Nothobranchius furzeri: one gene and its partner. The main gene of each other region encodes a partner of the protein of the gene in region 2 in a complex. Links are inferred from orthologs where the notes say so. Each region holds a gene or a part of one and is shown on either strand. Other genes may lie near its edges. The genes, in order: smc2 and ncaph.

Region 1 (3,824 bases), on a different chromosome or scaffold from region 2:
CAAGTCACCCCCAAATCAACTTTTTTGGCTGATAAACTATATAAATGTGTGTCTAATTGTGCTGCAGACACGTGTCGTCAATAATTTGGCACTTCAGTGCATCTTAGTTAAAATTTAAATATTCTGCCTAAAACTGTCAGTGTTGCGCCGTTGTCAGGTAAAGACTCTGCACTGTATTAGAATTTAAATCTGCCACCGCTATTGGCTAAGAGGTATGCTATGATGTAAACTGGTACATTATGATGTCACAATGCCGTTGTGAGCCTGTGTGTGTATTGGTTAGTGGCTCCGCCCTCTCTGTCTGCCAGGCAACAGCATTTGTTGCATTTTTCAAACATGAAGAGGGAGTTAAGTAAGTTTCTTGTAGGGGGTGACTTACTCTTTAACTGGCTGTTCAGACAGAGCAGACACAAACGGCTAATCTGACTCATTTCTAGAGATTAAAGCTTTGGAACACAAACAACCTGAGCTGTGTGAAGAACAGACCAGTTTAATCTGGAATAGGGCTGGGACGATAACCAGTAAATCATACGGCAGATGAAAATGAAGTACTCAATTTTTCCAGCCTCATATATCGAGGTTAAGAAAACTATTATTATTATTGAAGTGCAGTTTTGGGTTGCTGACACATTGTATGTACAGGTGCTGGCCAGTAAATTAGAATATCATCAAAAGGTTGAAAATATTTCAGTAATTCCATTCAAAACGTGAAACTTGTACATTATATTCATGCAATGCACACAGACCAATGTATTTCCAATGTTTATTACGTTTAATTTTGATATTTATAGGTGACAACCAATGAAAACATCAAATCTGGTATCTCAGAAAATTAGAATATTCTAAAGGCCAATGAAAAAATGTTTGTTTCTCTAATGTTGGCCAACTGAAAAGAATGAACATGAAAAGAATGTGCATGTATAGCACTCAATACTTAGTCGGGGCTCCTTTTGCCTCAATAACTGCAGTAATGCGGCGTGGCATGGACTCGATCAGTCTGTGGCACTGCTCAGGTGTTATGAGAGCCCAGGTTGCTCTGATAGTCGTCTTCAGCTCCTCTGCATTGTTGGGTCTAGCGTATTGCATCCTCCGCTTCACAATACCCCATAGATTTTCTATGGGGTTAAGGTCAGGCGAGTTTGCTGGCCAATCAAGGACAGGGATACCATGGTCCTTGAACCAGGTGCTGGTGGTTTTGGCACTGTGTGCAGGTGCCAAGTCCTGTTGAAAGGTGAAGTCTGCATCCCCATAAAGTTGGTCAGCAGCAGGAAGCATGAAGTGCTCTAAAACTTCCTGGTAGACGGCTGCATTGACCCTGGACCTCAGGAAACAGAGTGGGCCAACACCGGCAGATGACATGGCACCCCACACCATCACTGACGGTGGAAACTTTACACTGGACCTCATGCAACGTGGATTCTGTGCTTCTCCGCTCTTCCTCCAGACTCTGGGTCCTTGATTTCCAAAGGAAATGCAGAACTTGCTTTCATCAGAAAACATAACTTTGGACCACTCAGCATCAGTCCAGTCCTTTTTGTCCTTGGCCCAGGCGAGACGCTTCTTGCGCTGTTTCTTGTTCAAGAGTGGCTTGACACACGGAATGCGACACCTGAATCCCATGTCTTTCATGAGTCTCCTCGTGGTGGTTCTTGAAGCGCTGACTCCAGCTGCAGTCCACTCTTTGTGGATCTCCCCCACATTTTTGAATGGGTATGTCGTCACAATTCTCTGCAGGGTGCGGTTATCCCTAGAGCTTGTACACTTTTTTCTACCACATTTTTTCCGTCCCTTCGCCTGTCTGTTAATGTGCTTGGACACAGAGCTCTGCGAACAGCCAGCTTCTTTAGCAATCACCTTTTGTGTCTTGCCCTCCTTGTGCAAGGTGTCAATGATTGTCTTTTGGACAGCTGTTAAGTCAGAAGTCTTCCCCATGATTGTGGTGCCGTCAAAACAAGACTGAGGGACCTTTTAAAGGCCTTTGCAGGTGTTTTGAGTAAATCAGCTGATTAGAGTGGCAGCAGGTGTCTTCTATATTCAGCCTTTTCAGAATATTCTAATTTTTTGAGATACCAAAGTTGGAGTTTTCATTAGTTGTCACTTATGAATATCAAATTTAAATGTAATGAACATTGGAAATACATTGGTCTGTGTGCATTGCATGAATATAATGTACAAGTTTCACGTTTTGAATGGAATTACTGAAATATTTTCAACCTTTTGATGATATTCTAATTTACTGGCCAGCACCTGTATTGTTTTGAGAGAAAAAAAAAACGGTCTATTTTCATGTTTTTGGTGCAATATTTTCTAACTGAGTGAAATGGCGATATGATACGTATCGCGATACAGGGGAGACGATACAATATATCACAATATATTGCGATACATTCAGTCAGACGTTATTATTGATTTATTTATTGTAAGAAGATTCAATCAACAGTCCAAACTAATACTTAACGTCTTTAACACGAGGTATCTGAACCATAACAGATTTGTATTTCAACAGTGGAAACTAATCCCATTGCACACCATTGCCCACTGGTGGTCGGTGTTTGAATTGCACCAAAAGAAAAAAAATACACAAACGTTTACATGTCAATTCTTCCAGAAATTTGATAAACGGCTTTAAATATCGATATAATATCGCTGGAAAAAATATCACAACATATTGTCATATCAATATTTTCTTACAGCCCTAATTATTATGATATATTAACATTAAATAAGTTGTTTTGGTCTTGATAATGTCTACAATAATATTGTTAATCGTCAAATTTCTCTTTTGGACAATACAGTAAATCATCAAGCAAAATTTGTTATCGTCCCAGGTCTAATCTGGAGATGTTTCAAGAAGATCCAACCCTAACTTTAAATAAAGCAGGAAGTAGAACATAAAGTTTTAAATAAAATAAAGTAAAAAACATAAGTAACAGCACCAAGTAATAAATTAGAAAGAGTAACAGGATGCTGAACCATTATTAATTTTAATCCTCATGCAGAAATTTCATTTTTGCTTGTTTATCTTATTCAAAAACTTTCACATTTATCTGTGAGACAAAATGTCTACAAAAGCTATCCGTTTTCTAAATAGGATTGCCATCAGGAAGTTGATGACTTATTTCAACATCCTGCTTTGCATTCAGATAAAACCTTGCAGCTAATGGGTGCAGGTTAGCTTGAACAGAAATGTTTGGCTAATGATAGTCAGAATATTTTCATTGTTGAAGTGATCTACTAACAAAAACAACTGAATATGTTCGCAGTCACTGTGGAGTCAGACACACACACACACACACACCTTGTTCTGCGACACGGTGCAGGCCATGCTGTCTATCTGCTCTTGGATGGCCTTCGTGGCCTCGTCTACAGCCTGGATCTGCTGCTCGTAACCCGCCTGCTCCCGCTGCAGCTCCTCCAGCTCCAGAGCCACAGCATCAGACTCCTGAGCAAGAACACAGATCAGAGAATACTCAACATGTATCAAGACACGATGGACACCAGATCCTTCAGATGAGACTTTTTAAATATTCCACCATCACACCTGCTGTTTCTGCTTTAACTTGGTACTGAAGGCATCAGCTTTGGTCTTGGCTGCGTTGAGTTTCTGCTGGGCGGCCTTCAGCTCCTTCTCCCTCTCAGCCTCGGCGTTTCTCATTTTGTTCTCCAGCACCTTGTATTTCTCCTCGGCCCGCTTCTGGACCTCTTTGGTGACTCGTAAGGTCTCTTCGCTCTCCTCTGGTCAGACAAACACACACACATTTCTTTAGCACAAAACCATCCAGAGTATTTCAGCCAAGGAGAAAACTTTGAGCGCTAACCGATGG
Region 2 (3,824 bases):
TCCTGATGTCACAACATGCCTCACCCAGCAGCAGCAACCTGGACAAACTGGTTTCCTCTCCAACCAGGAGGCTTGTGATGACGCACACCCTGACAACACTACCCACCAAAAGCTTCGTATTGAAGAAATTAAATATCCACCAGGTTTATTAAAAAACATTTCTTCTGACATCTATTTTTGTAAAATGTGAGTACAGAACAAAGTCGTGTGCTACTTTAAAGAACAGAAGAATATTCCTTTCTTCTCACGTAAACACTGTAAAGGGTGAGAAAACAGACGTGAAGTAAAACATGACAAAGAAAATCTGAATCTTCTGCCGTTGACCTCCTCATTGGCCTTGTCTGATGATGATATCAGACATGTCGTCAACCTTCACCAGCTCCAAATTCTGTTACACACACACACACACACACACACACACGTGTAAGGTGCATTGTTGACGATGCGGTTGGAGTTAATTCAGGCCTTTGGTGTTCTGAGTTCTTCATGAGCAGATCTGTTGACCAGAGTGTGTGTTGGGTGTTATAGCACTCACCAGCAGCACACGCTGGACAGTCCAGCGGTCTGCTGTCCAAAGCGATAAAAATCCTCCATCAGCGCTTCACTGAACTAAAACTACAAGCTGCATCTCAGCTGGTTTTTGATAAAAATACAGAAGCTTGAACCCCTGTAGCTGACAGTGGGTTCTCACAAAGATCTCCGGCACCAAAGACAGAACTGATTATGTCAGAGTGCATCAATACTTTATTCTGGTGTGTGTATTGACCACCAGTCCACGTTTTAACAACCCTCACCTTCTCATTGGCCAGATGAAGCAGAGCTACAAACGCCAGCGGCACGGACAGGTTCTGAGCCAACATACTCGGCAATCTGGACCCAAACAATCAGACAGAGAAGAGAACAAATGTGGAAACATTAAGTTTTAACTTCCATGATTACAAGAGACGAGAAACACTCGTCAGTTCTTTGTGATTTTCACGCAGCACGAGGCTGCTGGTGGTCATTATTCCTCTTAAGCAGCAGCAACAGGAGGGAGGCTGCTACCTTTGAAGCAGGTTCTTCGTGGTCTGACTGAAGACTTTTTCTCCACACACTTCTGGTGCCTCTGCGGTCTCCTTCACCTGCTGAGAACATGAAGGCAGAACCGATAAAACAGACCTGAACCCACAGGATCAGCCGGACCTGCGCGGGGCCTCCACTCCCCTCCATCCTTCCAACTGAATGACCTTAACACGGAGTTACCTACCTCCGTCTGTTTCTCTGGACTTTCAGTCAGAAGAGTCCACATGCTGTTTTTGAGTCTCCTCATGTCCATTTTCTTTGCCATCTTGGCATAGTTGATTTCAATTTTGTTCACCTAAACAAGCAAAAACAGCTAATCAAATGTTTCCTGTTTCATTCAAGGGCAAAACTGTTATTAAATTAACATTTAACGAGGAGTAATCAGCAGCTTTGGTTTCTTCATTTACTATTTTCTTCTGTATTGAAGATATCACAGCTTTACCCACCCTGTGTGGTTCTGGTACCAGATCCTCCTCCCTGTATGTGGACACACCCGCTGGGTCTTCAGACGGCAATGGAATTCCCTCACCTGGAGGCGGAGCATCGCCTGAAGCAGCAAATGCATTCACATCATCATCGTCACTGTCACCGTCCTAAAAGAAGAGCCAGCCCATGGAGGCACATCTGTCACACCGGGTTCTGCACAAGCAGCAGGCATCAAACGGGAAAACCCAAATGCTGCTGCAGCAACCTCCCCGCAGGGACCAGCACATCATTTGACCATGTCACCAGGTCTGCTACAGTAAAGACTAAACTGACGAAAGGAATCAGAAGGCGAGCGTCAGACCTGGAGCCCTGGGCAGAAGTTGATGGTATCGTTGGCGTTGTTGTAATCATAATCACCGATGCCTTCTCCCAGCTCCCCAGACAGCCTCCGTTCACTCTCTTGACACAACTAATGTGGGACAGAAGAAACATAACTAGTGACATACCACCATCACAGGCCTACAGCAGCCCATCTGCTGTCTGGGATGCCAGAGAAGATTCCTGAAATGTTCTGGGAGAAAAAGCCTCTCCAGTTTCCACTGATGGTTATCCCCAACTCTGCATGCAAACACACACTGGTACCAGTACAGTGATCCCTCGCTACTTCGCGGTTCGTTTATCGCGGATTTTTTCTTTGGAGCCTTATTCAAGGGAAATTCGCCAATTCGCGGTATTTTTCTATGCGAAATATCAAGAAATTCCTGTTTTTTTTTTCATCAATTTCATCATAAAATGTACATTAAAGGGTGGTTTGTTAACAGTACTATGTAAAGGGAGGGTTTTAAAAGTCTGAATACTGTACGTACCTGTTAAATAAATACTGTAAATATGGTGTCCCTACTTGGCGGATGTTCACCTGTCGCGGCCAGGTCTGGAACGCATCTACCGCGGTAAACGAGGGATCACTGTACCATTTGTGGCAGAACCAAAGATGCACACCCGCCCTGCAGCAGGCTCTTAGGTGGACTTCCTAACACCATCATTTCTGGTGTTTACTTAGCCAGAACCAGCAGGTCTCACCGAGCTGGAGGGTTTGAGGCTGAGCTGGGACAGTGTCTCTGGGGGGAACTGGAAACTGGCCGGCAGAGTGGTTTTTTTGCTGCAGGCGCTGAGGGCTGATTTGCTGTTAGTGGTGGCTGCCTGTGAGGAGAAAGAGGAAATGTCAGCATTTCTTCTTTAAATCTGATACCAGTAATCATGCTTGTGGCTGACATGGCTACAGTCATCAGGACAGCAGCTGCATCACAGCCTGATGAAAAACACCAGATATCATCATCAAGAACAGAGTAAAGGCGTCTAAACTGTACAGGAAGTAAGAAGGGTCAAAGGTCTTTACCCGCGTGGTGCGGAAGAAAGTATCAAAGTCGACATCATCGTTAAAATCCATTTCATAGATCTTCTTAGGCTTCCTCTTGCGTGTCTCCTTGTCAGGCATGTGATCCACTGCAGCAGATGAGACATGGTTACTCCACACAGCTGTCTCCGATGGGAGAGCCGTTCATGACCCACAGAAGTAACCAGGACTACTCTTTACACACAGAGACAAACAGCAGACGTGTCCAGTGTCAAAGTAAAAGTGTATTTATGAGTGAATGTGTTGTCTCCACCTCTGTTAGCAGGGACGTGGTGTGTAAGGCTGCATTTACACTGAACGTGTCACGGCCCTAAAGAGACCCGCATGTGCAGAAGGCCGGATGTGCTTCGTTTACAGAAGTGCTACAGATGCTGTTCGTCTCCAGCTGTGTGGGAAATGCCAAACACACTTTAACTAATTAATTAGAGAAAGGACAATGAGAACAACAGCCTTCAGTGGAGCTGCAGCTGTCGCTGTGCTGAGGTGTGGCGGGGTTCTCATTCATCCACAACAGACCCCTGAATAACTGCCAGCTCCTCCACTGAAGAATGCAAACACACGATTCTCATGGTCACCGGGTCAGTGACGTATGATGGATGTAACGTTCAGGCTCGTCACTTTCAAAAACATCAGATGCAGGACCACACATGAAAGTGACCTGGGTCAGGTCTGTACTGTTCAGACGGTCATGAACACACACGGACGGCTCACACGTGGGGAGAAAACTAAGATGCACTTTTGCCTGCAGAGTGTAAGTGTGTGTGTGTGTGTGTGAGGGGGGCATCCTGGACAGGTCTCCAGTCTCTCACAGAGACACTCAGACACAGGTATCCACTCACTCCTAGGGGCAGTGTAGAGTCTCCAGGTAACCTAATTGTTTTGGGTCTGTGGGAGGAACCCGGGGAATCCACAGAGACAGAGA

Evidence for each region.
Region 1: ncaph (region 2) and smc2 share a complex: the UniProt entries of both Homo sapiens proteins name them as parts of the condensin complex. The link is inferred for Nothobranchius furzeri from reciprocal best matches to the Homo sapiens genes NCAPH and SMC2.

Annotation. Positions count from the first base shown.
Region 1 is NC_091747.1:76,184,857-76,188,680, reverse strand, and holds part of smc2 (structural maintenance of chromosomes protein 2), read right to left. Parts: coding exon 3,819-3,824; intron 3,736-3,818; coding exon 3,542-3,735; intron 3,443-3,541; coding exon 3,299-3,442; intron 1-3,298. UniProt on the Homo sapiens protein: Central component of the condensin complex, a complex required for conversion of interphase chromatin into mitotic-like condense chromosomes.
Region 2 is NC_091757.1:27,697,446-27,701,269, reverse strand, and holds part of ncaph (condensin complex subunit 2), read right to left. Parts: intron 2,992-3,824; coding exon 2,885-2,991; intron 2,689-2,884; coding exon 2,569-2,688; intron 1,958-2,568; coding exon 1,850-1,957; intron 1,656-1,849; coding exon 1,509-1,655; intron 1,358-1,508; coding exon 1,247-1,357; intron 1,125-1,246; coding exon 1,045-1,124; intron 871-1,044; coding exon 795-870; intron 389-794; coding exon 329-388; 3' UTR 1-328. UniProt on the Homo sapiens protein: Regulatory subunit of the condensin complex, a complex required for conversion of interphase chromatin into mitotic-like condense chromosomes.